2 linked regions of the Struthio camelus genome follow. The protein of the gene in region 1 interacts with the protein of each later gene in a pairwise test. Links are inferred from orthologs where the notes say so. Each region holds a gene or a part of one and is shown in the gene's direction. Other genes may lie near its edges.

What was found.
Region 2: the proteins of PRRC2B (region 1) and YTHDF1 interact in a two-hybrid assay, tested with the Homo sapiens proteins (2 studies listed by BioGRID, with this or other methods). The link is inferred for Struthio camelus from reciprocal best matches to the Homo sapiens genes PRRC2B and YTHDF1.

The regions. Positions count from the first base shown.
Region 1 is NC_090961.1:6,035,393-6,051,111, reverse strand, and holds the start of PRRC2B (protein PRRC2B), read left to right. Parts: upstream 1-9,899; 5' UTR 9,900-10,269; intron 10,270-15,719.
Region 2 is NC_090959.1:16,635,224-16,650,786, reverse strand, and holds the start of YTHDF1 (YTH domain-containing family protein 1), read left to right. Parts: upstream 1-9,917; 5' UTR 9,918-10,054; coding exon 10,055-10,081; intron 10,082-10,499; coding exon 10,500-10,524; intron 10,525-12,090; coding exon 12,091-12,170; intron 12,171-15,563. Other genes in the region: BIRC7 (baculoviral IAP repeat-containing protein 7), read right to left, coding at 1,901-1,979, 7,040-7,077.

The DNA.
Region 1 (15,719 bases):
GCCACGATTTTTCTTTACCAGCCTCCTTCGCCTCTAAAGTCTTATGCAAAAAGTGAGCTATGGTTCGTTCCTTTTCTTTGAGGTATTATTACACTCGGGAGAGTTCACCCCAAGCCGAGAAAGGATGGAGGCACACTGCCGCAGCTGTGGCGGATGTGTATACGCGCATGTGCAGCTGGAGACGGTGGATGCCTGAAGAGGCAGGGAGCAGGGGAAGACTTTGCCCTGATTGCTTTGTGGGAAGCTATCACTTTGTAGGCGTTTAATCCAAAGCTCTGGGTTTTACTGAGCCTTTGCAAATGGGCTGGATTCATCTACAGCTGCGTCCGTAGGTCCAGTTCTCCTCACACTTTTCCTAGTCTGTACCCTGGTATATTGATGATGGCTTTGGAGGAGCTACTCCTGATCCGCGCTGGTGTAAACAGGAGAGGCTCACCGCAGCGTGTGGCCGAACAGCGAGGCAGGAGGGCCGGGAGAGGAAGGGCCCGGCTGTGCCTGGGGACATGCTCATTTTGGTGGAGTTCAGGCCTGTTTCCAACAGCCCAGAGCGCTGGAAGGCGTCCAGCTCAAACTGAAGGGAGCGTGTCCCTTTTGCTCTTGGCACCAGTATCATTTCAGTGGCTTTTAAAAGTCCCACCCTTGGTGAAGCGGACGCCGCATGGTGAGGAGAACGGCGGAGGGTGGGGAGCTGCCCCCAGAGCCTCGTTTCGGCCGGGCCCGGCTCTCCCAGCGAGGCGAGAGGTGCTCTGAGTTTGCCTGCTGTGAGGGCGGCTTTGGTTTGTTCTGCTCTTCCCCTCTTTGCTCTCCCGAACGGAGCAAAGACCCAGGAGCCCTCGTGGCTCCAGCACAGCGCCGTGGCTGCACTGCTCACGTAAAACCTGCCTGCGAGGGCTTGTGCGTCCCTCTCCCGGCTGCCTGTCATGCCCAAGTTAGCGCTAAGAAACGAGCAGCATCGCTGTGGCGGTACCCGGCCTCTGTCCGTATAGCAACAGGCGGGGATGGCGGTACCCGGCCGGCTCCGGGGCAGAGCTCGACGGGTCGCGAGCCATCGCCGTACCCGAACGGGCTGTGACTGCCTCCGGGACACCCCGGGCCCCGTCGCCCCGGCTCGCTTCGACTGCCGTGCGGAGACGCTCTTCCGCCGACAAGGTGCTACCTGCGGGGATTTGCCCTAAGCTGTAAGTGCGAATAATGCTGTCCCTCCCGGCACGGTGGCGCTCGCGCCGGGGGCAGCGGGGAGGCAGCACGGTGAGGGACCGGTGCCCCGGCGCCGCGCTCACGCAGCTTCGCTGCTGGGGCTGGGTACAGCAGCGCGAGGGAAGGGAAAACCTCCGCGGGTTTGGGGTTTGTGGCTGTGCCGAGGCCGTCGGCTTCCTAGCCTGCGAGTCCTGCTTGCAGCCAGGCGCAAGGACGCAGTCGTCACCGTCCTTAAAAGCCGGGCCGCCAGGTGCAGCAGGGCTTTATCACCCCTCGCAGGGTCTCGGAGGGCTGGAGCTGGCCACAGCCCTGGCAGTAGCCGCCGGGAGCGGTGCCCGGCCCCGCGCTGGAGGCAGCGTTGGTCGTGCTCTCGGCCGGCCTCGGGTTTCGCCGTGGGATTTTGTGCGGCTGTACGAAACGCCGGTGGGTCCTGGAGGTACGTGTTACTCTGAAACTGAGGCCTGTTAGCTTTTGGGCCTCGCTCTCTGCCCTCGTGGAGCTTGTGCTGGTGCTCGCACCAAGGGTATAAAAAAAAAAAAAACCCCTCTAGTTCGGTAACACCTTGCGTCTGCGACCAGGTGGGAATAAGCCAAACGGAGGGCAGGGGCGCATCGGACCTTCCACAGGTCGCGGCAGAGAGGGACGAAAGGCCCAGCGGGTCCCGGTGGCTGCCCAGGAGCGTGGCTCTGTCCCCTGACCCTTCAGCCCCCGGCTTGGGCTGTGTCGGGCTCTGGGTGCGAGGCTCGGGGGGGGACGCCGGCCCGCTGGGACCTGCCACCTCGCAGCGAATGCGGCAGGTTCGGCAGGGCTCCCCGGCCCCGGAGGCAGGAGCAAGTCCCGCCTGCGGCTCTGGGCATCTTGCGACTTTCCATCCGTGCAGCGGCTGCAGCGCAAGAAAACGCCGCGGCGGAGGCAAGCGCAGCGCGGGGGCTCGGGGGGCGGCTGCCCTCGCCGCCGAGCGCGGCCGGCAGCGTCCCAGGCGCTGTGGCAGCGGCGACGGGGATTTCGTCCGTATTTCTGCCGTGTACGGTCAAACACCCCCTCCTCCTCTCGCCCTGATGCTGCTTACGCTCGGCAGCAAAAGAGAGGCTTTAATTTGTTAAAAAATATGAAGGATGCCAGGGAAGCAGCAAATCTGGATTATATCTGTGGGCATATGTGGGAATCACGGCAGGGGTGTTTAGCTCCCCCCTCCCCAAGCTAAGCTGGTGTTTTATTTGAACAAGCTGTTTTGTATGTCCGCAGCCTCGGTAATATCTGGGGCTGCGGGGAGACGAAGGTGGGACAAATCCCTTCTCGCACCAGCCCGCGACGTCCAGCCTCGCTTGGGCCGGGCGGATTAGGGAGGCTGTTATACAAGATCTCCCCGTGGTGGCACGGCTGAGGCTCTAGCCCACCCTGCGCTGGGTTTCCTCGGATGAAGGCCCCCCCTTCATTCACCCTGGGACGTTGCCGATGAGAGCGAAGGGACGCACGGGTTTAACCGGCCGCCGCGGCTCTGGGCCGGCCAGCGCACGGCTGCCCGGCGCTGCCGCTCGCTCGGAGCATCCCTTGCGACCGCAAACTCCTGTCTGGGGCCCAAAGGCTCCTCCCCAGTTAGGGAGCTCGTTTGCACGACTTCCAGTTAAGTTTGCGTATTAAAGTGGTAATTAACCATGTCATTCCCCAGGTTAAAAGTTGAATATATTGGGCAAAGCCTAAAGGAATAGGCTGGATCCTCCGCTTTGCACAAGCGTGTTTCTCGTGCTGGCTGCGGAGGGGGCGTCGGGGGGGGTCAGTAGCGCAGCCGGACGAGGAGTCCTTGCAAATGCAGCTGGTGGCTTTTATATGTGTTGGGCCACCCGAAATAGGTGGCTGGCGCTGCCTTGGCAAGCCCTGCTGGCAGCGGAGGGCCGGGCCTGGGCACGGGATGCAGCAGCCGCGGGGCCAGAGCCAAGGACCGAAACGGTGTTTTTCTCCCGCGCCGACGCCAGAGCCCCGGCTGACGCCCCGCAGCCCCCGCGGGAGGTAAGCGTGACCCTGTCTAACCTTCCGCCTTCGTGCAGCGTTTCCAAATCCGGCTAGATGGTCTCCGGCGGGGAAACTGAGGCACTTTCCCTGCCAGCGGTAGGGGCTGGTGGCAGGCGCCCGGGCTCCCACCGCTGCCGCTGCTGGCGCGCACAGCTCCCTGGGCAGGGCAGACACCCCCAGATTAAAACGGTTCCTCCAGCTGCCGGGGGGTGCGGGGGGCACGGCCGGACGCCTGGTTTCAGGGTGTCCTGGGGGCTCTGCCCTCTGCGGCAAGGGGGGCGACGGGGCTGCTTCCCTCCCGCCTGCTTGGGCCCCGGAGGCAGCGAAGCTCTCCCCCTCCCCTTCCCCGGGACGCAAGAGCCAAAGCGGATTAAGGGTCCCCCGGCTGATCACGTTTATTTCGTTATTTGAGTGAAATCCCTTGTAAATGCCACCTTCCCCCCCGCCTCCCCCTTGCCTTTATAAAAATAGAAGGCAGGGAAGAATTACAGATTTAGGAAAAGTTAATCGCGGGCGTCGCATGCAAGCTGTTAAGCTCTGGCAGCCCGAGCGGGGGGAGAGGCTGAGCCAGCGGGACCCCCGGCTGGCGGGGCGTCCCCCGGGGAAACCCTGCTCGCCGGGCAGGGCAGGCCTCTCCCGGCACGGCTGGCCTGCGACGAGCTGCTCGTTGCGCAGCCCCAACAAAGTGGCTGGAGCGGCTGGTGGTCCCCCCCGCTCCGCCGCGGTGGGGGATCTGCTGTCGCCCCTCGGCCCCGGGAGCCTCTGCAGGACGCGGCGGTGGCCTGAGGTGCCCGAGCTCGAGGCCGCTGGAAGTGGCGGCGCCCTTCCCGTCACAGTGCGGTGGCTCGGAGCCTCTCCGCCGGACGGGAGCGGACTTGACTGCAGGCATCGCATTGAGCTCTTCCCCCAGTTGAAGTGTTTCCAACAAATTTCAAGCAGAAACACCCGGCTTCCGGGCGCCCGAAGCTCCCCTGTCCCTGCAGAGTCCCCCCCGGCCCCGATTCGCCCTCGGGACCCGCGCACGGGTTGTGGGTGGGTGCTGGCCACAAGGACCCCTCTTCTTTGCATCTTGCAGGTCAGCCTGGCTCGCGGGGCGCCGTCCGCCGTCCTCGCTGGCCCCGGGCTGCCCGCGACCGGCGGCGGCGGAAAGTCAGGCCGGCAGACGGTGACTCAGACAAGAGCACCGGGAGGAGGAGGCGAGCGCTGAAGCGCTGGATGTCAGCGACGCGCTTGCCTGGAGACGAAGGCGCTCGGGGCGCTGGGTGCCGGTTGCCTGCGGCCGAGCGGCTTTGCAGTAGTTAAACGCGCTCGATGCGGCGGTTGTTCAGGCCTCAGCCCCGACGTCTGGCCGCAGAGGTCGGCCGCGGGGATGCGCGCGGCTGCTGCCCTCTCGCCCTTGCGATCTGCCCCCGAAGCTGCCTGCGGTGTTTGCCCTCTCCTCGGGTGCGAGGGGCTTCTGTTTGCTTTCAGGCCAAACCTACAGATGTGCATTAACGGCGTGTTAGTGCGTAGCCTTTGCGCTCAGCTCAAGCTCGGGGTTATGTAAAGTGGAGATTAATAGGACTCAGCGAAATAGAGGAGCACGTGGAGGGATGTGGTGAGGATGTCTTGGGAGGGGATCTGGGCAGATTCAGAGGGGGCAGAAAGGGGCAAAGTCTGAGTGAAAACGGCTTTTTTTTTTTTTTTAATGGCATACATCATTCCTGCACCAGCCAGCAGGTGAATAAAGACTGGGAGATAAAGTAACAAACGGCTATCCAAAGGGAAGGCAAATTTTTCCTAGGTTGCAAATGTACCCCTCCCCAACGTGCCTTGTTCCCCCGCCACCCTCTCCCAAAAAGCGAGGCGATCCTCGGGTTAAGAAAGGCTGGGGATTGTCCTAGGCTCCTGCGCGCGCCGCTCCTCGGTGAGCAGTGCGAGAGCCGAGGGCTGGTTTCCGGGGGCCCCGGCCGCAAGCCAGAGCAGCGGGACCCCCCCCGTCTTGCGCGGCAAGCTTCCCTCTCGCCGAGCCCTCGGCCCAGAAGGGCGGTCAGGTCTCCGGGAAGGGGTGGCAGAGACACCAAAACCGGCGCTTCCTTTGGCAGCTCCTCCGAGCAGGTGACGGTGGGAGAGAGGAGGCCGGAGAGGGAAAGCAACGGGTTGGGGGCACCTTGGCGCGGGAGAGCAGGGCCGGCGCGGCAGCCCCGCGGGAAGGCGCCGTCCCCCCGGGAGGAAGGCTCAGCTGGGCTCCGACGGCCGATCGAATCCAGCCGGGAAGGGCTTGCATGCGTTGCGAGATTCCTGGTGGGCTTCCTCCTCTCCAAGCCTCCTGCAATAACAGCAGCCGTTGCTCGGCTTCCTTTCTAGATAACCTTCTTCCTGCTGCCCACATCCTTATCTGCTGCAGACGGACTGGCAAGATGAACCGGAAAGCTGATACCTTATCTCCACCTCTCAAGGAGCTCGTTTAAGTGCTGGAATGTGTCGCGATGGTAAATGATCACTAAAATCCAAGCGAGCTGCATGGGCCCCACGGGGAGGGGACACCTAGTCAGACGGGAGGCTCGCGGGGCTACCGCCTTTCAGGGCTTGTCCTTCTTTTGCCTGTCAAAAGACGCCTGTCCTAAAAGGTTTAAACCCCTTTTAAAACACAACCTGTCGACTGGGTTTCTCACCGATCCGTGGCTTAACGCTGCAGGCTGCTGCCAGCCGCGCCAGGGTTCCCGGCGCCTCGGTTCACTCGTCGCAGAGAAGTACCGCGACGTGGTCCGGCCTCGCCGGGGTGCAGCAGGGGTTAACAGCCTACGTGTGATATCGCCACGAAACGTATTCCTCGCTCACCCTTTAATCTGGACTTGGATGGGGGGAGCAGTGAGATGCTAACACACCCATAAAGGTAAATGGGATTTGAGAGCTATCAGTCTAATTAAAATGAACGGGGCTCTGCCGCTCAGACAGCCTGCTGCACCGAGGTGAGACCTCTCCGGGGACGCAGGAGTCGAGCGCAGCTTCAGCTCGTCACTTATTTCCGCCGCCGTGAGCGGCAGGTACAGCAACAGCGATTGCAGACACCGGGGTCTGAGCGCTGTGACGGCAGAGGGGCCAGGGAAACCCGCCCAGCCGGGGCCGTGTCCTGACAGCTGCGGCAGAGCCACGAGACAGATCTATTTTGGTCCTGTCCTGGGTGGAAAAATAGGTGGCGGTGCCACCTGGGTGCCAGCCTGGATGCCCGGGAATCCTCCCTGTCGGCAGCACCGGCGGAGCTGGGGCAGGGGTAAAGGGGAGCGGGGCGGGAGGGAAACCCCCAGGCCGCTGGGTTGCGTGGCCCTAAAGAGCTCCAGACGTGACCACCCGGACCCCGGTCACCATGTGGACCCGGGAGGGCCGAGGGCTCGGCCACGCGTGGCCGCTGGACGCGGCCTCTGCCTGGGGTGGCTCTTATTCCTTCAGCGGCTGTTGGTACCCTGGCAGTGCGCGCCGCGCCGGCGGGCGGCTGGAGCTGAAAGTTAATCTGTGCCCCGTCGCCGACTGCTTTTCCACAGCCGTGCATAGGGAAGCGCCATCCCGGAGCAGCCCTGGGCCTGCCAAGCGCGCCAGGGGAAACGCAGGTGACCCGGCGGCCGTCGGGGTGGCACCACGTGCTTTTCGGGAGGGCTGAGCCTGTCCCCTGCCGGCTAGACCTAACAGCCTGCGGGGTTTTTATTATCCCTTGCAAAAAACTCTTGCAATTAAACAGCGCGGTGTGCTTTTCTGCAAGACCCTCCAAACCCTCTGTGCGTCTCGCGAGGACCTTGGCCCCGTCGGCCCGGGGAGCAGCAGGACACGCAGCCCCGACGCCACTCGCTTGGGCTGCGGAGAGGCTGCTGCAGGGAAGCAGCGCTGACAGCGAAGCCCGAGAGGCTCCTTCGTCTCCCTGCGATGCAATTTGGTTACGCTCGGGGTGCAGGGGGCTGCTCCGTCCTGACTGAGCTCACGGGGCCGAGCCAGGAGCTAGCGGGTCCCGGCGGCTGGAAACCCCTCTCTGGAGGTGGCGGGAGCCGCCAGGCCGGCGTGCCCTGCGCTGGTAGCCGCAGCCGCAGGGCAGCGCCGCGCCGCAGGGCTGCCGGGCTCGCTGCCAGCGCGGCGAGGAGCGGCGAAGGCGATGCGTTAAACCAGCACCGCGCGTCCCCCGCCGCCTCCGGCCGCAGCCCCCCGCCAGCTTCGCAGTTGTCCCCGTCAATGTGAAAAGCAAGAGCTGGCGGCAGTGGCGGGGGGGGGGGTTGGAAATCCATCCGAGCTGCTCGGCGTCCGCATCTTGTGATCCTGAAACCCAAGACCCCCCCCGACTCAGCAGGTTATTAATAACGCCCTGGCCGTCCTCCCGCCGCAGCGCCTGCCAGCCCGCGCGGGGCCTAGGACGCCGGCCCGCCGGGAGCGGGGCTGCGCTGGGCTGGCAGAGGGGTGTCCCTGCACCCGTCTTGCCATCCCCGGGGGCAGCACCCGCAGCCCTGCCGGGGAAGAACGGCTCCATCCTTATCCCGCCCCGGCCTCCTGCCTCTCCCCCGTCCTTGGCCGTTCTCCTTTGCTCCCCCGCTGAGGCCGACGCAGCCTCGTCCCTGCCCCGATGGAGCAGGGGACAGGGCCTGGGGGTGAGCTGGGGCAGGACACTGCGGTTGGGACAGGGCACAGGGGCTGGGGCTGGGGACAGGGGCTGGGGAAGGGGACAAGGGCTGGGGCAGGGGATAGGGGCTGGGGCAGGGAACAGGGGCTGGGGCTGGGGACAGGCTGAGGACAAAGGCTAGGGAAGGGGACGGGCTGAGGACAGGGGCTGGGGCAGGGGACAAGAGCTGGGGCAGCGGACAGGGGCTGGGGAAGGGCATAGGGGCTGGGGAAGGGGATTGGGCAGGGGACAGGGGCTGAGGAAGGGGACAAGGGCTGGGGCAGCGGACAGGGGCTGAGGACAGGGGCTGGGGCAGGGGACAAGAGCTGGGGCAGCGGACAGGGGCTGAGGACAGGGGCTGAGGCAGGGGACAAGAGCTGGGGCAGCGGACAGGGGCTGAGGACAGGGGCTGCGGAAGGGGACAAGAGCTGGGGAAGGGGACAGGGGCTGGGGAAGGGGATTGGAGCTGGGGAAGGGCATAGGGGCTGGGGAAGGGGATTGGGCAGGGGACAGGGGCTGGGGAAGGGGACAAGAGCTGGGGAAGGGGACAGAGGCTGGGGACAGGGGACAGGGGCTGGGACAGGGGACAAGAGCTGGGGCAGGGGACAGGGGCAGGGGACAGGGGCTAGGGAAGGGGACAAGAGCTGGGGCAGGGGACAGGGGCTGGGGATAGGGGCTGGGACAGGGGACAAGAGCTGGGGCAGGGCATAGGGGCTGGGGAAGGGGATTGGGGCAGGGGACAGGAGCCGGGACAGGGAGCCGAGAGAGAGACAGCATCAAGTTCCCCCCTTTCCGCCCCCTCCCTCCTGGTCGCCCTCCAGCCCTGCCCGCCCGGGCCCGGGGCCCGCGGGGCCGCGCACCGGCCGGCTGCGGCGCGGCGCCAGCCCGGGGCTCCTGCTCCCTCTAGCGGGGACGCGGCCGCCGCCGCCGCCGAGCCCCGCGGCTGCCTGCTCGCAGCCCTCCGGGCCCGCTCCGCCCGCGCCCGTGGGAGCCGTGCCCCGGGCCCCCCGCTGCCGCACGCCCCGTGGGAGCCGTGCCCCGGGCCCCCCGCTGCCGCACGCCCCGTGGGAGCCGTGCCCCGGGCCCCCCGCTGCAGCACGCCCCGTGGGAGCCGTGCCCCGGGCCCCCCGCTGCCGCCCGCGCCCGTGGGAGCCGTGCCCCGGGCCCCCCGCTGCAGCACGCCCCGTGGGAGCCATGCCCCGGGCCCCCCGCTGCCGCACGCCCCGTGGGAGCCGTGCCCCGTGCCCCCCGCTGCAGCACACCCCGTGGGAGCCGTGCCCCATGCCCCACACCACCACATGCCCCATGGGAGCTGTGCCCCGTGCCCCCCACCGCAGCATGCCCGCTGGGAGCTGTGCCCCGGGCCCCATGCCCCATGCCCTGCACGCCCCGCTGGGAGCCGTGCCCCATGCCCCATGCCCCATGCCTTGCACACCCCGCTGGGAGCCGTGCCCCATGCCCCATGCCCCATGCCCCGTGCCCCATGCCCCATGCCCCTCTGGGAATCATGCCCCATGCCCCTCTGGGAGCCATGCCCCAAGCCCCATGCCCCATGCCCTGCACGCCCCACTGGGAGCCGTACCCATGCCACTGCACACCCCAAGCCATCTCATGCTCTACCCCGCGCAAACCCCGTGGCGAGTTATGCCCCATGCCAAGCTAAACCTCTGTGCCGAGTTATGCCCCACGCTGTGTTGTGGCCCACTGTTAAGTCATGCCCCATGTCAAGTTAAAGCCCTGAGCCGATTTATGCCCCATGCCACGTTATGCCCCATGGTAAGTTAATGTCCCGTTCTGCGTTATGCCCCAGGCAAAGGGTCTTTGGTGGCTGGGTCTTCCAGGCTGAGACCGTGTCTTCCTGAGCATAGATATTTAGCTCCCGCTAAAATATTTAGGAATTGTGTTAATAATTAAAGGAGAGAGTGAACTCAAAAGGGACTTTCTGTGATCTCATGAGATGGAAGGGACAAATCTAGTCATGAGACAAACTACTCACTAAAGCATTGCATTATGAGGGAACGTTAGAGCTGCGGAGATGTTCAAGTAATGACCTTTGCTTCGGGGGCCCTCAAAGTGAACCCTGCAGCCTCTGTTCATGACAAGCGACCAGTTCTGTCTTTGCATGTATGCAGGATTCACTCGCTGGCCAGGCTGTGATCAAAGCCAAGCTTGTCAGGCACAGCCAAAGTCTCCTGGCTCGCAGCAGGGGATCCAGTTCTACCAAAAATCACTTATTCTCATCAGCGTCAGCACGTTGGGAGGCAGCTGATAGTTCACTTTGGCGGGGTGAAGCGAGATATTTTTGAACGGTAAAACAACAGCTGTCTTGCAACACATGGAGCTGGGGAATCAGATGGTCGTGATTGAAAGTTGGAACTGTGATCACAAACACATCCGTGAACTTGCATTCCTGCCACATCTGTGGTCATCATGACGGTTTCAAGGTAGGAAATAAAATTATGCATATCCTGAATAGTAGACATTACAAAATCAATTACTTTGACGTTTCTTAAAATTCCTTTGATAAATTTTGGGAAAATATGGATTCATCTGTCCTTGTTTTTATTTTTTGGGAGATATCTCCAGCTTTGTCAGTGCAGATCTTGTGACTAATTCCAGCCTGAAATATCTGGTTGAATTTGTCCCCAGAGCAGCTTGTAGTTTTTCATAATTGGATGCACTAAAGTGAATGAAATGTCATTTTGAAAAGACACCTGTTTTTGTTGCTAAAATATCCACATCAGCTCTGCAACGTTTTGGCTCTAGTGCTGTTTGGGACAGTTGCTGATCCTCAGATTTAAAGCCAAATAAAAGACTGATATATTGTGCAGTCCAGTGACCCCTTATGAATTGCTACAAAAGTCAGTCAGGTTCATCTAACGTAGTCACGCATTACCTTTCTCAGAAATATTCCTTGTGGTTTTGAGACAAGCTTTCTAGGCCTCTACATCAAATAACTGGATTTTCATATTTGTCTTGATTTTTTTCCCTAACCTCTTTGAAAAGCAGGATTTGACAGAGAGTAAACAAAGGTGTAACTACAAAAGCAGACACCCTCCTAGCAGTGTTTTTCAGCGTGTTCTGGGAGCAAGCGCTGTAATGAACAGGTCCTTGTCTGGTAAAGCTTCTTAGCATTTGCAGCTACATCTCCCTATTTTTTCTCTTTCTGAGTGTGTTGAAAACTTAGCATGTCACCAACAAACTTTGGAGTCTTTTGAAGAATATTAACTGCCTCGTTGTAAGAAAGATGTATGATGCTGCTTGAATTTTTCTTGAACCCTTTTGCTGTTTAGATAGTCAAGGCTGAGTGAAGGCTTCAGCGTAGATGCAGTGAAAAGGAGTTTGGGCTTTAAAAGCTGCACTAAGAACAGCCTTGCTAACTTCTGCAGATCACAGGATCTGCAGAAAAAGCACCAAACCAGGAGGAGCAGAAGGAGCGGCCTTGTTTTGCAGAGTTACACACAGGGAAAAACTGAAGTAATGGCTGATGAAGTGTCTCCAAAATACTTGCAGTGTCAAGCAACTGGCATTCGGTTCTCATTGCAGGCGAGGCTCCATGCTAAAGCCAGCTGAAACCAATTCACTTCTCATTGGAAAGATAGTTTCCTCCTTTAATCAGCCCTGTTTTAAGTGATTTCATTTTTAGTGCCTTAAATAGTCATTTTGTTTTGTCCTTCAGGCAGTCAGCGTTTTCTGACTGAGAGTCGTGTAGGTCCGCAGACTTTAGAAGGACAAACAATAGCCTGGCAAACAGAAATGCTTCATTGGCATCTTGTTTTTAAACAGAGCCTGCAATTCCCATAGGCCAGAGCAGGACAATGAACAGGAACAACTTCTACCTGATCCAACAGCTATGAGGAGCAACAATTACGTGAGTCTGCTCCTACCCAGGATAACTAGAAAAAAAAAAAAAAACCAGCAAATAAGACTGTGGCTGGGGGCACCCTATCTCCCCCCAACCCTGTGAGGGGCAACTGGAGTCAGTGGCAACTGGGTCCATCCTGCCTCGGCGGTGGGATTTGGTGGGCGGTGAGAATGGGAGCTGGGGGGAGATGAAGGACCTCTAGAAGTAGAGATTGCTGGACCTATTCCAGGCACCTCGAGGGAGGGGACCTCGAGAGAGCGGCCACCTGCCTTTGGGAGAGTAAGAAGGAAGCAGGCAGCCTGCCGCATAGCATGCGGGAGCAACGCAGCACGCGCCTTGCATGGGGCACTCAGACCGCATCCTTCAGCTGAGGTCTAGCCAGGGAAGAAAGAGCTAGAGACCTTCAGTCAACCGCAGATGCCAAAAAGCAGATGATACTCAAGAGGGAAGAGGACTTGGGTAACCAAGAGGATTGTTTCTCTCTGGTACGGAAAGCACACGTCATGCATGAACAGGGGGCTTCCCTGCTGCAGTTATTTACAGGATGGAGCAGGCCGGGGAAAAAAGGATTCTTTTCAGTGAAAACAGTGAGGTTCTGACATTCATCCTTTGATGCACAATGAAAACTTGGCATTTAGGGATTTTTGCTTCCAGAAACACCAGCCAGAACAAGGTTGCCCAATGGTTAGGGCCATTCAGGTAGAATGTTGGTCGAGTCTGTGGTTTGTCTTAACTATGGCTCAAGGTTTTTCCCGCTATGCTGTAAAGTAAATCTTTGTACATGTAATGCTTCAGTAGTTTCAGGGCCAGAGATGGACAGATTCAGAACAAAGACTTGGATGGACATCTCCCACGTTTTGGGAGAGGGCACCAAGGCTAGCCCATGGACTGTCCTGGGGACTTGTTTTAAACAGTAGCTCCATCTTAGACCTGAGGAGCATTTTTGCCAGAAAGTATAAATTTCCACAAAAATGTTATTTATGGCAAATATGACATTTTCTTATGATAGAAACACTGCTTTGAAAAACTTCCTAATCAGTGCCAGTAAAAATAGTACTTGACAGTTATCTACTCTCTACCCCATCAAAAAGAAAATAAATTTGTCTGATCCCCTGCTGTTCCTCAGTGTTTGTACAGTGACTAATGCAATGTTGAGATGCTAAATGCAAGTAAAAATGCTAAATATGATGTCCCACCAGAACACACTAAGAGACAATAATATTACAGTTTAGAATACTTTACGTTTGTATCCCGTGGCCCGTTACTAGCAGTAGCTAGGTGATATCTGTGTTCTCAATCATGTTTTCTAGCTACGATCAGGACTTACAGCCTTTGTTTCACTTTTTCCTTCTCATCACGTCCCACTTTAAAGCAAGCATTAGTAAGAGGGACTCTGCAGAAGCCCATTTTGCTAGCTCTGACTATATCCCTCTTCATGACCTAGCACACAGAAATAAGGCAGTACCCTGGGAACTGCTCAGCTATCCATACAACAAATGCTGGGATTAGACCCCAAGAAACTAGACAAACTGAATCTGAAAGCAGAGCTATCATAATTGCATTGCAAGACCACAGATGCTAAATCAGATGTACAGAGGGGCCCCATGCCATCAGTTAATGTAAGCGAGAGCAGGGTTGCAGTCTTTGCTTTCACTGATCAGATTCAAACCAGTGTGGGGTGAAGGCCAAAACTCCTAGGTTTTCATGTTCTTTTCCTATTCCCAGAATTTCATACTCTGCTTTAGCCTAGGGAAGTGAGACGTTCCAGCTTTCCTGCTCCTGAAAACACCTCTTTATTCCCTTAAAAACAATTTTATGGAAACATCTCTATGAATATTAGGCCTCAAACGAGAAGAGAAAAATAAACCTTTTATACCTGAAACCTAATCTCCCTTTGTTCTAGTTGAGGTCTGTCTCTAAAAGCATTTCCTTATATTTGGATAACACAGCATCATAAATGGGATTACAGAGAACTGCCAGAGCTACTCATGTCTTCTCTCCTGCATCACGTATATGACAGCTAAATTCTCTCATGTTCTTGCTGACTGGCTTTTGGTTCCTAAGGCCCTGTTCACTTAGTCGCAGGCTTGAATTTCCCCGTAACCATCTCGGATGAGCTAATGAAGTCAGTGCAGGCACGAGGCATTTCCTGATTTAGACACAACTGAATTTGAAATGGATTGTCACACTTCAGGGCCTCCTACTTCATCGGATTAGAAAGAACATTCTCCCATGGACAGGTTACGCTATGACTATCTACTGCCTGCTTCTTCTGCAGAGCTGATTGATGTTGGCTGCTGTCTCAGACAGATGGAGACTAGAAGGACCACGGCCTGATCCAGTGAGGCAAATGAATACTTCATATGTACTGAATGGCCTCTGGGTGGGGAAGAGAACAGGATAGCTTTGCTTTTTTCCTAACGGACTGTGGAGTTCTGTGAATGAACACCAGGGCAGTAAGGCCTTGTCTTATGCTGCAGGCTGCAGCTGAGCAAAGTGATAACAAAATCGCACAACAGCATGTAGCCTTCAGTTTGCTCTGCTGTACATCACTCTGCATGATGCAAGCCGCCGGTTGGGGATTTATAGAGGTAGAGCAGATGTTTGACAAAGCTGTAGAATATAATAGGAATTCTATTATTTCTAGGAAGCCTTAGACCACAAGACATTTCTATAGATAAAACTCTATACAATGGCTGAAAGCCCTCTGGAATGGTTATTTTCTATTTGACAGGATTCTTCACTAGAGGAAGGGTGAAGCATACAACAGGAGTCCTGCATTCACCTCTAATTAATCCTGGGAAGATGAAGCAGGAGGTTGTGAGTTTGACTCTTTTGTCCATGGGTTACTTGGCTCAGCTTTTTGGAGTAGGTCAGAAAGCAGAGTAGGAGTCCTTCCAGAATGGGTCCTGCGTAGAGTTGTGCACTGAACTTCATCCACATGAAACTTGCTCTTCAATCTCTGCCCAAATCTCTTCTCACTGTCCTCAGTGCTCCCTCACAGCCTTTTGTGGGTCTAATTCCACCAGCTCTAGTCTTACACCGGTTGTCCTGACTTATACACAGGCCAGTAAAAGGTGAGGCAGGTCTTTGGAAGAGCAGCATAGGAATTCATCACTTCATACCAAGGCCTGGGGGTATCTTCATGGACCGGGGATGCAATGGAGCCATGCTCTTCCATTTGGTGGCAGAGACTGATGATGTCTTTTCATTATTCAGATTATGCCCAGTTCTGCACAGAAAAGAGAAGCCCAGTTGTGATTCACTGCTGGGCCATGAGAGTCTACAAACGGCCATGGGGCCGGCCCCAGCACACGTGGAAAAGCTGTGAGTTTGAGTGTGGGGGCTGTGACGTACTCACCTGATAATGAGTGTACAATTGTCTTTGATTTGATTATTTTGGCTTCTTGATCTCCACACCAGGTTGTATTGTTTTCATCTTTAATTAGCACATCTATTCCCTTGGCCTTGGATTGTTGCCTTGGAGATGCACAACAGACCTTTGGAGACTTGCTCATTACAGTAGCAGGTGTGCATAAAGCCAACCTGGACAAGCCTGTGTGAGTCACCTGCTGATGGTTTGGGTTGTTGATGGCTGCATGAGTGTATGCAAGTGACCGATTTCCTGAGAGGCAACACTAATGCCTTTGGTTATATGTTGTTGTTGAGCGTCAATAGCACATAGTGCAAATGGTGCACTCTCCTCTCTCTGCTCACCAGCTGACACGGGCTGTGATACTACCAGGTCCCCCACAGCAGGGTGGCCAAGCGTGAAAAGAAGCAGCCCAAAGCAGAGACCACCATTGAAAATTTGGCTAGCTTGTAGCTTCTCTCAAGGAGGACACTGAGGTTTGGATGGGCAGGAAGCAAGTTAGAACTTCTATTTCTCTGTGTGTGTGTGTGTGCGCACACGCGTGCACACACACACGCTCACGCACACACACACACACACACACACACGTATCTGGCCTGACAGGGAAATCAATGGAGAAGGAAAACCAAATTCACCAGACTCTGACCAAATGCCCC
Region 2 (15,563 bases), on another chromosome or scaffold:
ATTAAGCTGTTTAGAAGCTTGAAAGACTTAGACTATCAAAGGCTCTGTGCCTCCATTTCCCTGTCCCTAAAATAAGGACTATTAAATTTTCTACTTCAGAAGCATGTCCTAAGGATTAATTAAAGCCTTATTCTGATGTACATTAAGATCCCTTTGGACGCTGGCAACATAACGGAGCGCTCAAGCGGATAGGAATTACCTCTATAGCAAATATACACCCACTTTAAGACTGCTTTCCAAAGCCACAGTGAAACAAAGGAACTTTATTGTCAACTGACTCAAATCCAAATATCACTGATGCATTCAGATACTTTGTGGGAGTTGCTTCTGTCTTTCAGAACCACAGCAGACGACGCGGACCTATTCCATGCTGGATAAGCACGAGAGCCTTGGGAACACTGATGGCTACTGGAAGTAAAATGGTTCTTAGTAGAACTATTTTTTCTCTGAACTGTTAATGTTTCGTGTGACCGTGATTTTCTCTTTATTTTCTACTGATAAAATAACAGAGATGAACATAATCCTATTCTAAAAGGAGACCGCTCAGCCATAAGGTACAACCGTATTAACTATGCTGGAGCATGCGTCAGATGAGACCGTAACAGTTCCCTATAAAGATACTGACAGTTCTCTTAGCCCTTTCGGTGATTCTGTGACTGTATAATAATCTATAACTATATATTTTTCATCTTGCTCTCATGCATATGTTTTGCACTTAATTTTCAGGAAAATGTACTTTAAAGTTAACAGACAACAGCAACAAGAATTTACTCATTACCGCTTTAATGGCTTACATGAGCTTTACCTCAGCAAAAGACAGCAGCGCTTTTGCTTCCACTGCATCTCTGAAATTTGAAGTCTTTCTTTGTTGTCCTGTGGTCTTAATTGAGAATGAATGATTTTAAGGTGAGTTTTGAAAGGTACAATTATTCGTAAATGTGTCTTTTTCCACTGCTTTTCTGTTTGAGAAGATAAATGTAACTACTTATTCTACACTATGTGCTTGACAAAACATAAACTATCCAAGTTAATACAGGTGTTTCACACTTGTAAAAAACAAACCGATCTTTGTGTCTTTTAAGAAAAAAAGAGCTGTAAGCCTTTTTGTTACAGGTAAACCTATACAAACATTTTAATTAAAAAGACTGGTGTTTATACTTTCTCTTTTTTATTTATTTTTAACTAAATATGTTTTAATGAAAAACTTATGAGCAGTAGGGGGCAGTGCTTATTTGCAAAGTTTACAGAATTTTTAACATGTGAATTTGGTTCTTTTTTACTTTTTCATAATGAATTTATATGCAATTCCACATGATCTGCTACTCCACATATCCTGTTCTTTGTAAGTCTATATGGATTTTGAAGAACATATCCTAAAAATATATAACAGACAGTTAACAAAATCTCTTTTACAGAGGCAGTTTGGGAACTCTGTTGATGGGTTATAGGAAAGAACCTGTTAATAGATAAGAAGGATAGCTACGGTCATATGAAGCATTTTACAAGCAACCACCTTGCTTTTAAAATGTGATCTCAGGAGCAGTTGGGAACACAGCATACTCCTTGATCTGCCGATCTCACGTTCATACCTCGGCCTCATAGGCAGTCAGCAAGCAGCTTCTGGGATGCTTTCATGCAACACACAAACAATCTGTCCGCAGCACAGGGCAGCACTGACAGAGTGTTGTTTGTGTTAAAGGTGTATTGAATTGCCAAACCTGTATAACACTGCTTGTTGCAGAGGAGAGCCTCCAGGATGCCTGGTGCTCTGGTTCCACCATCACATTACGCCATGGGCAAATCTGCTTTTGAGAGTACCTGAAGGAAACCTCTCAAAATACAGCCTTTACCCCCATTTTAAAGACAGTGATGTTGAACACAGGGTAACTAAGTAACTTACCAAGTTTATGAGGTATCTTGGGTAGTGCCAAGAACAAGCCTTCCTCTTTTCTAAATCCTCACTTCCCCATCCACCAAGCCTGTTAAAGAGCAAAAAGCTGTATAAAACCTCAGAGGAGCCAAAAAGTTGCTTCTAGGTTAAGGCCCTAAAGCGGAGAAGTCTTTCCCGAGAAAACTGGCTAAAGGAGAATCTCCTTAACCTATTTTAACTACTACTGTTTCCCCAGAGCAAACCTGCTAGTCTAATCCCACACTGCAGTAAAATCTCACTAAGATTACATTATTGTTATGAAACAGATAATACTAACACTACTGAAACTGCTCAGACAGAACAGGAGTTAGAGTACTCTAACATGCCAACAAAGGTATACAGTCCCGTTCGTATTTATTCTGTTGACATTTGACCTCCAATTTGTGACATTTGGCTGATTCTGGCACTATTACATACCATCCTTTTAACTTCATGCAAACTTCAAGACCGGTTTGCTATTTTCTGTGAGGAGACCCTCATGTAAGATTTTGGGGGGAATCACTTCATAAACAAAGGAGAGTTCAGAAGAATCAGTGAGACAACTGTAGCAGGAGAACATGAAGTAACATCAAGTCTGTTGCAGACAGAAACTAAAAATAAGCCAGCACGCTCAAGAAGAAATGATGGGGTTTATTTTAGCAGGCTAACAATGTTTGACAGCATTTAATGTATTAGGTAACGTGTTGTATGCAACTAATAATGTCTTGTATTATAATTATGTATTCATGTTAAAATTTATTTCTATTCTTTTTTAGCAATTTCTTTCATTTCCTTTTTAGAGAACAAAATGTCCTACTGAACTTGTGAACACTTGTTAAACCAAAGAGAGTAATAAGCTAAAGAAAAAAAAAGAATCAGTAAGCATCAAGAGTACAGGTGTCCAGGATAGATCAGCAATAAATGCATTGCTGAGCTCGTTCCAGGGCCAACTGGAAACCAGTGCTAGCCAGTGACTTGAAAGTCTAAGAAGAAAGGAATACAAACATAATTAATTGAAAATAGTTAAAATGTTAATATTGCCCTGATTTGAAAGGAAAGTATTCAATAAATACAAGGGCCAGACAGCATGATGAATAGCTCAAAAGAGCTGAAGTGACTGGAACCTCTGGAAAAACTCCAACGGAGTTCAGCATCTCTAATCTTGAGGCCCTATGCAGCTGTATTCTGACAAAGCTGCTGTTTGGTTTAGCTTAAGGAACACTATTGTGCACTCGTTGATAAATTAAGACCAAATAAGAAACTTCGTGAGGAAAGAGGCTTTTGTAATAGAAAAAAAAAAATCGCGTCAGTTGGTATTATCCATGAAGCAAAGAGGCTGGGAACAGGAATACAAGTGCCATAGCTTGCCACTGCAACTGATGTGTAAGGGGGCTCGATACTGAGGAATTTTATAGCAAAATTCCTGTTTCTGTTTGCTCAGAACCACCCTAAACTTCTACAAGACAACACGGATCCATTTTTGAGAAGAAAACAGGATTTGGTTCAGACTTGGTTGTGTAACTGCTTGCCAGGCTGAGGCAGAAGAGGTAGCATCATCCAATTTGTTGCCACAGAAGTAGGCAACTGCTTCTGTGACTCCATTTATGGCCTTGCTTTTCTTCTTCTGGATGCCTCTTCCTTGTCTGTTGTCCTTGAGCTCCCTTCACACTGAATGGCCAGCTGGTATCATCCTGCAGCAAAACACTCACGCTCTGCTGCTCCCCTAAGAGCTGCTGGCACTGTATTTCCTGCATCGATAAAATCTTCTATGGTGCCTGTCTGTTCAGCTCCAATTTGAGCCTTCCAATGCAGCACTGAGGGACCAAAGAACATTGCTGCCTGTTGACACAAAACTCCAAGGCATTCATAAAATAACTCCACTGTGGACAGGAAGCATGATCTAACCCAGTGAGTAATGACAAAGCACATCAAAAAGTGACTGGTCGCACCAGAGAGAAACACAAAGTCATTCCCCTAGGGCAAAGCTTAAATGTTCATTCAGCTCAAGGCTTTTTTTTTTTTTTAAACCATAACAAGTACTAGTATACATCTAAAGTGCTCTCTTCTCTGCTTGCCAAGGTTTCCCTTGCTGCACTTTCCACCTGATGATTATTTTAAATTCCTTTCCTGAATTTTTTACATGATAATGAAAACCAAATTCAACACAGTTACAAAAAAATTTAACAAAATTTAACGAAACAAATTTAAGACATTACTAACTAATAATAAAAGATTTGTCCCTCCAAAGATTAACAAGCTAATGCTTGGAAGCCTGAAAAACGATGCTATAAAGTGAATACACATACCACGAATATATACTACCAGAACTAATACACAGGTGAGTAAATAAACTTATGATTTAAGTGATTTCCTAAGGATTACACCCTTCCAACCTCCTCCCTTAACTCTTTCCTATGGCCTCTACTACCATAGAATCTGATTGCCTCAAAACATTATGTATTTTAACAGTGGGGAATAGCTAAAAATGTAACTTGCAACACCATGAGAGCGCTTAGAATCAAATACTACTAATATACTAGCTCACAGGAGCAGAGCACAGTAGAGATCAAAAGAAAAATCTGCAAAGTACAGCAGATATTCAAACAGCCAATAGAAGAATTGGCCTTAAAATCCTACTGTGTTTTGAAAGAAAAGCAAACTAGCATGCTAGTTCCTTGGAATAAGGAAAAGCAAAGCGTTTCTCACGTGTCATTACTACGTTTTATTCTCAGTTTCACAACTTTCTGAGTTTGGGGTTCAGCCTACTAAAAAAAAATTCTTTGTAAGGTATAGTGGATTTAAAAACTGTGTTTACTAGGTTTTCAAAAGGTAACAACCAGAATTTTTGTAGAAAGCATTTTATTTCTCTACATGGCTTCTGAAGCTCAAAAATTTGGCAGCTTCACTTTCAAAGATATTTTTCTCTTTATTTCTTTTTCTACCGTGTCTTCTTTTTGCCAGTGAATACAAACATTAGGAAAAAAGGAGAAAAAAAAAAAGCACACAAACAAAACCAACTCATTGTATACTTTATTTTTGTTCCCCCCAAAATTCTGAATGCCTAAAAAAGAAGAATCCCTGAAAAATTTCAGTACTGCCCCAAATTTAATGAATTATTGCTCTGCTGAGTGGCAGCAAAGTGTGAGAGTTGTAGAAACTTCCACAGTCAAAAAAGTTAGGAGATTAAGAATACAGTTTAGTTTAAGGAGAGAAATGAACAGCTACGAGCAATTCTCACAGTTAACATTGAAGTATGAAAAATATTCCCTTTCTGCCTCCCTTTCAGAGTAGAATCTGGCTGACTTTCCCAAAGATCAGTCATACCTTCTTTACTCCTGCCTCTCCCTCTCACCTCTCCAACCATTTCCTGCTGCACTTCAGCTCCAATGTGGAAGTGTCTTACAGTTGTACTGTATTCCCTCTACCTACTCAAAGCCTGGCAGGAGATACAGGGAACCAAAGATGAGGTAGCTTCATCTAAACTGTGTGGCATTGCTACTCCAGATTGTTCAGGGAAAAAAAAAAAAAACCATAATGAAGCTCTTCAGGAAATATTGCTATCAGCTTGTGACTAATATATGTTCCACCATTCCGCCATTAATTACCTTTAAAGAAGGATTTGTCAGGCATTGTTATGAATCTAATGGAGCTCATCCCACTTTTTAATCGGTGGAAAATCAGCCGTCAAGGAACACAGAACATCTAATTTTCCAATTAAATTCTGCCATAGCTTGGAACATGTTTATATTGCACAGAGATGTGCCTAGCTGCCTGAATATTATTTGGATAATAGGCAAAAGGTATATTCCTGAGCTATTTACACTAGCAATCATCTGTTTCTTCTCTTCATGTAAATTCACTCAAATAGGTTGATTTTGTCTACCAGTAACTGATAGCAAGAATGACAAATGAGGAGCATGACAGATCCACCTGAAGGATGCTGCAGAAGTGAAAGATGCTGAAGTGAAAGATGCGTGACCCAATTCTAATAAGTGAGCAAAACCAGATTATCCTTACAATTTAATGGAAACTAGATGATAACAGCAACAAAGAGTTGCCAATGAAGAAGATCAAGAGGAACACTTGGGAGAGCCATGTGGCCAGCCCTCGTTCCGCTGAGCTTCTTGCCACAGCTTTACAATGAGGTTGCCTTGTAAATAACAGCAGGTGTGTGACGGTGATATCATCTGTTCACAGGCCACACTTTGGATACGATTCCTCTTCTCATGTTTTCACAGAAGACCATGCCAGCAACATGAAAACAGAAAAGAATATACTATTTTTGTGTGTGCCTGCCTTTATTTTTCACCTTAAAATGATGGAAATTAAAGCTGAATCTATGCTTCGGTTACATTCCGTAAGGGGACAAGGGGCAACAGAGAAGATTCCAGTATGGTAATGTTTACCCCTCATGCTCGAAGCAGAAAGGGCTGCAGCAAATCCCTGTAAAATCTAAATAACAAAAATGATCTTCTGTAATTTACACATTAACTCTTCCGAGATTTCAGAGCATTAACCAAGCAGGGAAAAGGTATCCTTACTAAAACATAGGTCCATCTTTCACTCAACAAAGCCAAAACTAAACAAAAACCTGTTATACTAAAGGTTACAATGTAACTCTCCAAGAGTAGGCTGGGTTTAGATGAAATGATTCTGTTTAGTTGATATCATTCTGAATATTGCTTGCATCTGTATGGTTTAACATAGACCCTTTTTCCTACTGGTTTTGTTTCTAAAAGATCGTGATTTCTTTATGGATGGGTGGAAGCACTCTTAAAGTTACCAGGAAGAAGAAATAACTCACAATTTCCTAATGCCAAAGAAAAAAATGTTCCTACAAATATGGAGTTAGGGATAGAGTGTGTGTGTGTGGGGGGGTACACAATATATATACACACAAACACACCTTAATATACTCTATATTTGAGTCTAACATAACAGGTACAGTCTAATAGCTATAGTCCCCCATACCTTAGGATTCTGAAGAAAATATAGTTCTAACGTTCTGCCTACACCACAGTCATGGCTAGGATGATTCATAGTCACATAGTTTCTATATCAAGACTACTGAACATATACAATCACATGGACTTCAAAACAGCGCTCATCACCCAAGTACCCTGGACAAACCTTTCCCTCTTCCTTTCAGATAGATGGCCCACTCTCATCTCATGCTGCTTGCTTTCTTCTCACACTGCTTTCTGAAGTTCTGTTCCTCAGGATAGCCTTTCCATCTCATCCAGGGACTCTCAAGAGCACAGACTCGCCAACTCTGTCCATAGCTATACCATATGGCAAACAGAATTAAAATGAAACAAACCAATTATCACTTGCAAACTAAGCTAACGCACAACCTCAAAGTATCTCCAGGTGCTGAGGTTTGATGCTATAACCTTTCTTCCTTACCTCGTGGCGACTGACCAGGAAAACGACAAAAAGAAATTGGACTAAACATTCCAGGGCAGTGGCCCAGTCTGTTGCTATAAATCATGATATTCTATCAGAATGACAAATGCAAACCTCAACAGTTCTTGACCTTCTGAAGACAGGGATGACTCTCTTTCTAATGTAACTAAAGAAAGGATGATTGAATTGTTTTGTATCTTTCAAGATGACTAGAATTTTATACTTTCACCTCTCAAAACCGAACACAGAGATGTTACAAGTAAGACCTTAGAAACTCCGGAACTGCTACCCGTTACGTCAGAGTCTTTCCTAACTTGAGCAGAGTTCTAGCTACTTGCATAACTCAGTAATAAGATATCAACAGATATCAACATCATACAAGTTAGTATTAGGCCCACTTTGGGCATAACCCAAGTGACAAGACAATAGCTCAATTTCATACGATGTATCCTGTTGCTTAGCATGAGAAAAACCATAGGAAAGGCTTCCTGACTGTAACAGAATTGGGGCATAACTTGGATATGCTTCATTCAGCACCCCAAACTATCAAATAAGTTGTTACCTCAAGCAATGACACAACATATTATGCATATGTTGGCAGCCTGATCTTGATTCATTTCCTCATGCGCTCTTATACTGCTCACATCAGGTAACCATAAATTGTGCGCGTTTGTGTCAAGAAACCTGCAAACAAAAGGCACGTCCAAAGGAAAAAAGAGAGTGACCAAACTAAATCTCTGCAGGTATTTTGATAAGAAAAAAAAAAAAATCAGGTTTCTAGCTAATTTATCGACAGTTATTTCCATTCCTTAAAGAGTCGTCAGACAGCTATGTAGTATGTTAAAACATAATTTCGGTGACATATTATTAATCACTGAAAATTCTTTGCTATAAGTTCTGTTACCGCACCGGTTCCCAAAGACGTCAGAGAAAATTATATTCTACCAATTGCCAATAGTTGCCATTTCTCCCCTAGTACCATTATCGTTCACAAGAGAGGTGTTTTCTTTTGTTCTGGCCTAAGAGGTTCCCAGTCCACCATACTCTATTTGGGCACTGAGTGAGCTACCATTTGCTATATTTACACGGACAGTAAGACCTCTGAGTATTACGACAACATAAACAATAAGAAAGCAGCACAACGCTGATTCCTGTTTCACCATGAAACATTATGATTTAGTCATTTGAACTGAAACAGATATGAAAAAGATTATCATACATATTTTTCCATATTATAACCAGCCATCCAAGAGACTACAAGACCTTGGGAAGGGCAGGGGCTGTCTTTCTGTTCTGTGCAAGGTCTATAAACAGTCCCTTGACCCAGGGACATTAAGCACTACCAAAAAGCTAACAAGAACCATCAACTGTTGTGGTCATTAGATATCCTACCCATTTGAAAATATATATTTTTATATATGCGTGTGTGTGTGTGTGTGTGTGTGTGTAGGAAGAAGCAGAGAAACAGCTGGAACATAAATATTAGAAATAAAAAGGGCATTCCTTTCATCAAATCTGATTTCTCATTATGGAAATGCCAAAGCCTCCCTAAAAAGTACTATCCAGCTACTGATGCCTAACTCGGTATAAGCTAGTGCTGACCATGTGCTTATTCTGTGTGCTTATTCAATAAAGCTTCACGTTCCCACGTCCCCTCGGCAGGGCACGCAGGGGAACGACCAGCCTCCCTGAAAACCACCGGCTGAACCCTTGGCCCCACTGAAGTCAACGCAAGCTCTGGTCGCGGGGCCTCAACTTCACCCAGCCCAGCTGGAAGGAAAACAAGAGTGAATTAACCTGGTAAAAAAACACGGAGAGAGCAGCTGCAGCGAGCAGGTGGTTGGGTACTCTCTGCCCGCGGCTCCGCCCGCCCCTGCGCAAGGGCCGCGCGTTTGGGCGGCCGCGATGGCGGCTTCTCCTCGGGCTCGGGCCCGGGCCCAGCCGGGCCTGGCCTGGCCTGCACCGCCATTTCCTCAGCAGCCGAGCCCGGGCGGACCCCGAGCCCAGCCCGGCGGCCCGAGGCAGGCCGACAGCTGCTGCGCGGCCCCCCTCGCCGCCGAGCGGGCTGCACCGTGGGCGTCTCTGAGCGGGGAGAGCCCGGTCCGGTCCAGCCCGGAGACGGCTGCGAGGGCGCGGAGGACGCTCCGGCCGCGTGGGGCGAAGCGGAACCTCCCTCAAGCCGGCAGGGGGAAGGGCCGAGAGGCGATGGCGCCTCCCGCCCTCCTGCGACTGCGCCTGCGCGGCCGGTGACGCCCCGCCCCGCCGGCCCACCTGCCCCTCCCCCCGCCTGCGCCTCGCCGCGCTTTCCCGGCGTGCCGCGCGCGCGCTCGGCGCTGACGTCACCGCAGCCCGGCGCCCGCCGCCATTGGAGGTGGAGGCTCCGGCTCCGGCTCCGTCGCTCGCTGCGGCCCGACGGCGGCGGCAGGCCCGGGCGGTGCGGCGCGGCGCGGCGGGGCGCGGGCCGGGGTTATGTGAGGAGACGGGGCCGGCAGGGCGAGGCCAGGCGCGGCACGGCACCGGTATCGGCGCCGGCCTTCCGCGCCCCCCTGAGGAGACGCCGAGCGGCGGCGGCGGCGCGCGCCAGCGGCCCCCTTCCCTCCCCTCGGCCCCGGCGCCGTCCCCTCCCCGGCCGCCGCCTGAGGGGAGAGGCGCCGCCGCCCCTCCGCCGCGCCCCGCCGAGCGGCCCTGCCTTCAGCCCCGTCCCTCTCTGCTGAACCACGGCGGCCCTGTACATGAATTATGTCTGCCACAAGCGTTGACCCTCAGGTAAGCGGCGAAGCGGGGCGCAGGGCCTGCCTCCTCCCCGCCCCGGGGCGGGGGTCCTCCTGCAGCCCGGGACTGCCCCGGGCCCGAGAGAGGATCTGCCCCTGCCTCCCGGCTCCTTTTTTTGGCTTCATCTTTCTTGTTAGCTAACCCCCCAGGCACCTCGCGTTCCCGTTGCCTTTCCAGAGCCGTGGCCATTTCTGAGGAAGGCCAGTGCCGAATGATACCTGAAATGAACGCCTCAGCCCCGGTTTAAACAAACCTCGATTTGTCATTAGCCGTTTTTAAGAGACTTTTTCTGTCTCTATAAGCTGCGTGCTTTGCAGTGACGATATGAGCATTTTTCCAAAATTAACTTTTCTTTTCTGTCCTCCCCCCTCCCCTTTTTTCTTTTACTCTGTCATGTGCTGTGGCTTCCCAGAGACCGAAAGGGCAGGATAATAAAGGTAAGGAATATGCTGAGATTTTGCTGTTTAAACTGTTGTTATAACAGATAAATCATGCAGGTAACTGTTCATAAGCAGATAAGTATTGCTGTCAGTCCCCACAGATAACATCTGGAACAAAGGAAGTTGTGCTTTGTTTCAAAAATAATATTAACCGTTACTCTTAGGAGCACGTTTGCATCCTACTTATTGCTACCGAGTTTATAGTGGGAAGGACTGTGGGTTAGCATTAAGCATATTTATAATAACGCTCTTAATTTCCTTAAAGTAAAGCAGTTTTCAACATAACAAAGTCACAGAGACCTCATACTCAAGATATATTTTCACATACTTTTGCATACTGTGTTCTTGCTATATAAATACAATTTTGTTAGTGTACTGCTGTTGACATATATATGCTAATTGTCATAATACGAACTAAGTAATTCGAAGTCTACAAACTAAGTAATTTGAAATAACAATAGTTAACCCACTTCTGATGAGGTAAGACTTTTATGACAATTCCTGTACTTAATCTGAAATTAAAATTAAATAACAAGTATTTTAAGTAAATACTCTGATTATTATTGTGATTGCTAATAAGTGTGTAACTGTTGAGGCTTAGAAACTAACCAAATCTTGCCATTCGTTTAGGCTGGTTACGATATTTAAACAAAAAAAATTTAAAATTCAACTGCCTGGAGTCTCCAGAAGTTTGACTCTATATCCCGTGTTTATCAGTACTCTCTTACATGCTGTTGTCGCTGACGGACTTTCTCAAAAATCTCATAAATTCCCAAACTTGTTTGTTAAACATCTTATTTCATATAGCGTTATTTTTAACTTAGCTGTTCTATGAAACAGTTGCTTTATTTTCCCACCACATAGTGTGTATGATCTCTTTTTTAAATTTAAAACAAACAGTGGAAATTGCTTGAAGTGACCTAATAACAATTTTGCTTTCGTATAATATCTTTCAGGAATGGGTTTTGAATGCTTTTCACATTAATTTATGCTTATATAAGCCTTTGATTAAGGTATAAATCTCAGTCTCGTGGATACCTCCATGAGAAAGGTGAGACTTGTGTTTTGCTTGCAAATGTTGTCAGGATATCAAGATAATCCGCAGTCATTTTTTAAAATTAAATACAACCTCACTTGATTTTCTTACTTTGGCCAACTTAACTTAAACGAGCAATAGATAGTACATGCAGGGAGAGTTGTTAATTAGTTTCTGAGATTTCTAATCGTGGACCAGGGCCTTAGATGTGATTTCCCAATATTTTTCAACACATTCTTGTCGAGGATTGTTGTTTTTTGGTTCAGAAATAGTTCACATGAGTTGATGATTCACTCATCTGTAGAAAAATTAAACTTTTTAAATTTAGAGGTTTAAATTAAATATATTCAAATTGTTACAAGCAGTAATGCAAAGATTATATGGGGATGAGTATGATCCTTTTATCTTTGAAGATTCTTTGTGCCATGGAGAAGAATATGACTCTTCATAAAGTAACATTAGGGTGGAACTGTTTACTGAAATGCTACTAAGCAGTGTTGTGATTTGTTGTAACTCTCTTCTTCCAGTACAAAATGGTTCATTACACCAGAAGGATACAGTTCATGACAACGACTTTGAACCTTACCTTTCTGGGCAGTCAAACCAGGTTAGTGTATTTGTAATTTAGTTTTGTTTCTTGGGCATGCTGGTAGGCATCCTACCAATTTGTAGGATTGTATTGAAGGAGCAAATTACTTAAATAGAAGCAGAAAAATAAATGACTAGCATGTTGTGTTACTTAGTAATGCAACTAGCGTTTGTACTCCCAAAGCTAATACAGCTACGTGTATCCAGATGGCCACAAGTGAAAATGAAGTTAACGCTCCAACTCTTGTCTACTGATTGCTTCTCAAATTGCAGATTATTGATACAGTTGGACTATGACAGATGATTTGATCTTGCAGTTCTTTGATAGATGAGCTACACATGAGACTCTGGAGGTTCTGCTTTTGGAGAGTCTCCTGGTTTGTCTTTAAAATAAGCCTGAAAATTACTGTAGTTGAAACTTATTTTCAGTGCTTTCTAGAAAAGATTACAGAGCGATTCCACTTATAACCCATCAGCAAATATTGCTCTTCCTTTGTGTCCTCTGAAATGCCTTTAAAATGTGGTATTTTTTAAGAGTAAGGCACTGGAATATGATCTAGTTCATTATCATGTACATCACTAAACATCCATGACTTAAATATTAATTATAATACAAAATATCTTCTAGTTCAGGTAACTTCTTATATCTTTAAAATGAATAAAATGTCTAGGAACTGGAAGCTAAAAAGAGGTTTCATTTCACAAATATAAAATACAGTGTGAGAAAGAGACTTAGCAGAGGCACGCTGTTATTTCTTGGCAAAAAGGCTAAGAGGTATGTCTTAAATGGGACACTTCAATTCAGCATTATGAAGCTGGTAGCTGATAGATGCCACTGTTAATATTGGTGACATCATTAAGCTTCCTTGCAGAAGAGCATTTTTCTACGCACTGAAATAAGATAGTATGTAATATGACTTACTCTTTCATGTGTGGAAATTGTGACTGAATCTTGAATGTGAACTCAAGAGCAAACGTTGTCAATTCGTATACCGTGAATTAGGTATTCTCCAGGCATATTAAACACTGTGTTAGGGCAGAAAGATAGATGGAACTGTGTTACAGATTTAGTTTGGATCATAGCAGATTACAGGAGGCTGCAGATTGCAGTGCAGTGTAGAGATACCTGAGCTCATCTCAGTCCTGGAAGCAGTCTAGACACACCAGCGCGGAAGTCAAGGCAAGCATATATATGATAACATGAACTGTGCTCTGAGCTCTGCGCTTTGAGGCTTCTGGTTACTGAGCTGCGCTCAGAGGTCTTCATCGTTCTCTGCTGCATAGACATATTCTCCCGACTTCTGCAAAGTTAATGTGATTTCTTGGGGGAATGTGTCCTGTTCTCTGTAATTGTTATACTGTTGCAAGTACAAATGCAGGAAGTTTAAGATGAAAAGAAGTGAAATTCCCTTTATGCAAAATCAGTTTTGAAAGAAAACTATGCATGTTCTTGGTATCTTTCTTCTTCTCTCTGTGATTTCTTGTCATCACACTTCCTTCTATTTGTATGTAATTTTTAATTATTTAAAACCAAGATATATTTTCTAATGTAAATACATTTAACCTTCTACTTGATGTAGAAGAAAAATAGAACCATCTCTTATATTTTAATTCCAAGTAATGTATTTGTTAGCTCTCAACAAGCCCAATTGTTAGGATTAAATGTACAAAGTTGGTACGATTTATAGAATTCCATGATTTAATTTTCATAGTCTAATAAAGTGATGATACATGAAAGCATAGCTCTGCTGACTGACCTGTAAATGCAACAAGAAACTGACATGCAACAAGAAACTGTGGCACGCTGCAAAAAAATGATTGTGTAGGTTGTCTTATATTTTTAAGTGGGAAGCGACAGTAGCATTAGTTAGGATTCTCTGAGGTTCTGCAATAAAGACAACCATATCTCTGAACAAAGCCTATTTCTACTTACTCAGCCAGATGTATGCCCTCTAAAGTTACTGTATAATATAGTTGATTTAAAAGAAAAAAGTTTGAAGCAACTGAATTTTGAAAAAATAATTAAAGAAATTAAGAACCTTGCTGATAAACCCAGTATACTAGACATCAAAGATCAAACATAGGATGATGATACTGTGTTAAACTTAGTCTTGTAAAAATACAAATTAATCTTTAAAATGAGTATTAAGCATATGAAATAATCAAATGTGATTTGTCTCCTATCTCTGTATAGAAAACTGTACCTAGTTAAGGGCGGCTGTCTTTTTCTTTGCCAAAAAAAGGTCTAGTATTTAAATAGCAGTAGTTAATGCAGATCAAATTTGAAGTGTGATAGCTGATTGTTATTAAGCACACTAAAAGTGTTTCTCAGTGCAGAGGGAACTGAATGAGGTACAGTGCTCACATAAGATATACTCAAAGTAAGGAAGGTATCCCAGATGTACTCTCATCCAGAAGCAGAAGATTTTTTGTGAGAGTGTATCATAATACAAGCAAGCAGAGTACTCGGGGAGAAAGAAGGATTCTCTTCCTAATTAACACAAAGATTGCTTTTAAAAAGCATGGAAGAAGTGCAGAAAGGTCAAGGATAAATTTGTTGAGATAAACTGCTGCAGTGAAGGACTTCCATCAGGGTTTCTCTTACACTCTGTGGCCAGTCAAAATAGATTGAATGTTTTGTAAGGATGTCTGCTGAAACTTTCCCTTAATCTTGTTAGAACCCTTGTGGAAACTTTACAGGCTGTGTGTACAGAAGGTAACAGTCTAAGGAATCGTGTCGAATCACTAAAGAAATATTGTGGGACAAAATACTTGCCTTGTCTAGGCTTGTTCTTTTTGATCTTAAACTACATCTGTAGAACGTACAAAAGTAGTAAGTATTAGCTAGGAACTATTTACAGCTCCCCCTTCCACCAGCATTTATTGTTACATTTTTCTGATATTAACACAACAAGATAAAACACATAGATACCAATCTCAAAGTGACTCAGAAAAATGATGTTTTGGTATGCTAAATATTGACTCTCTTAGCTTGAGAGACTTAGAAAATTTAATACATTTTGGAGAATCATCTTATAGCAAGGTGGGTTGTGTACCTCTTGTTAATGATAGAACTTGCACGTTAATAAAGGCAACAAGAGAAGTGGTAGAGGTGATATGTCTCTTGAATCAAAAAAAGATAACATTAGATTTAGGCTATTTAAATTTCAGTAGTTTCTATGGTGTGTACATATAGGTCTTGGCGACTTTTTATGGAAACGTTCTTTACATGGAAAGTAAGGATGTTGAACTAGTCTGGCTTTTGGGTTTTGTGGAAGTCTGTCATCACTGAAAGATGAGCAATAAAAATGAATCTAATGTATCAGGGTATTATGCTTATATATTTAGTAAGAAGTTTCTTAGTTTTTCTGACTGAGGTGAGAAATAATCTTGTGTTTGAAAAAATTGCTAA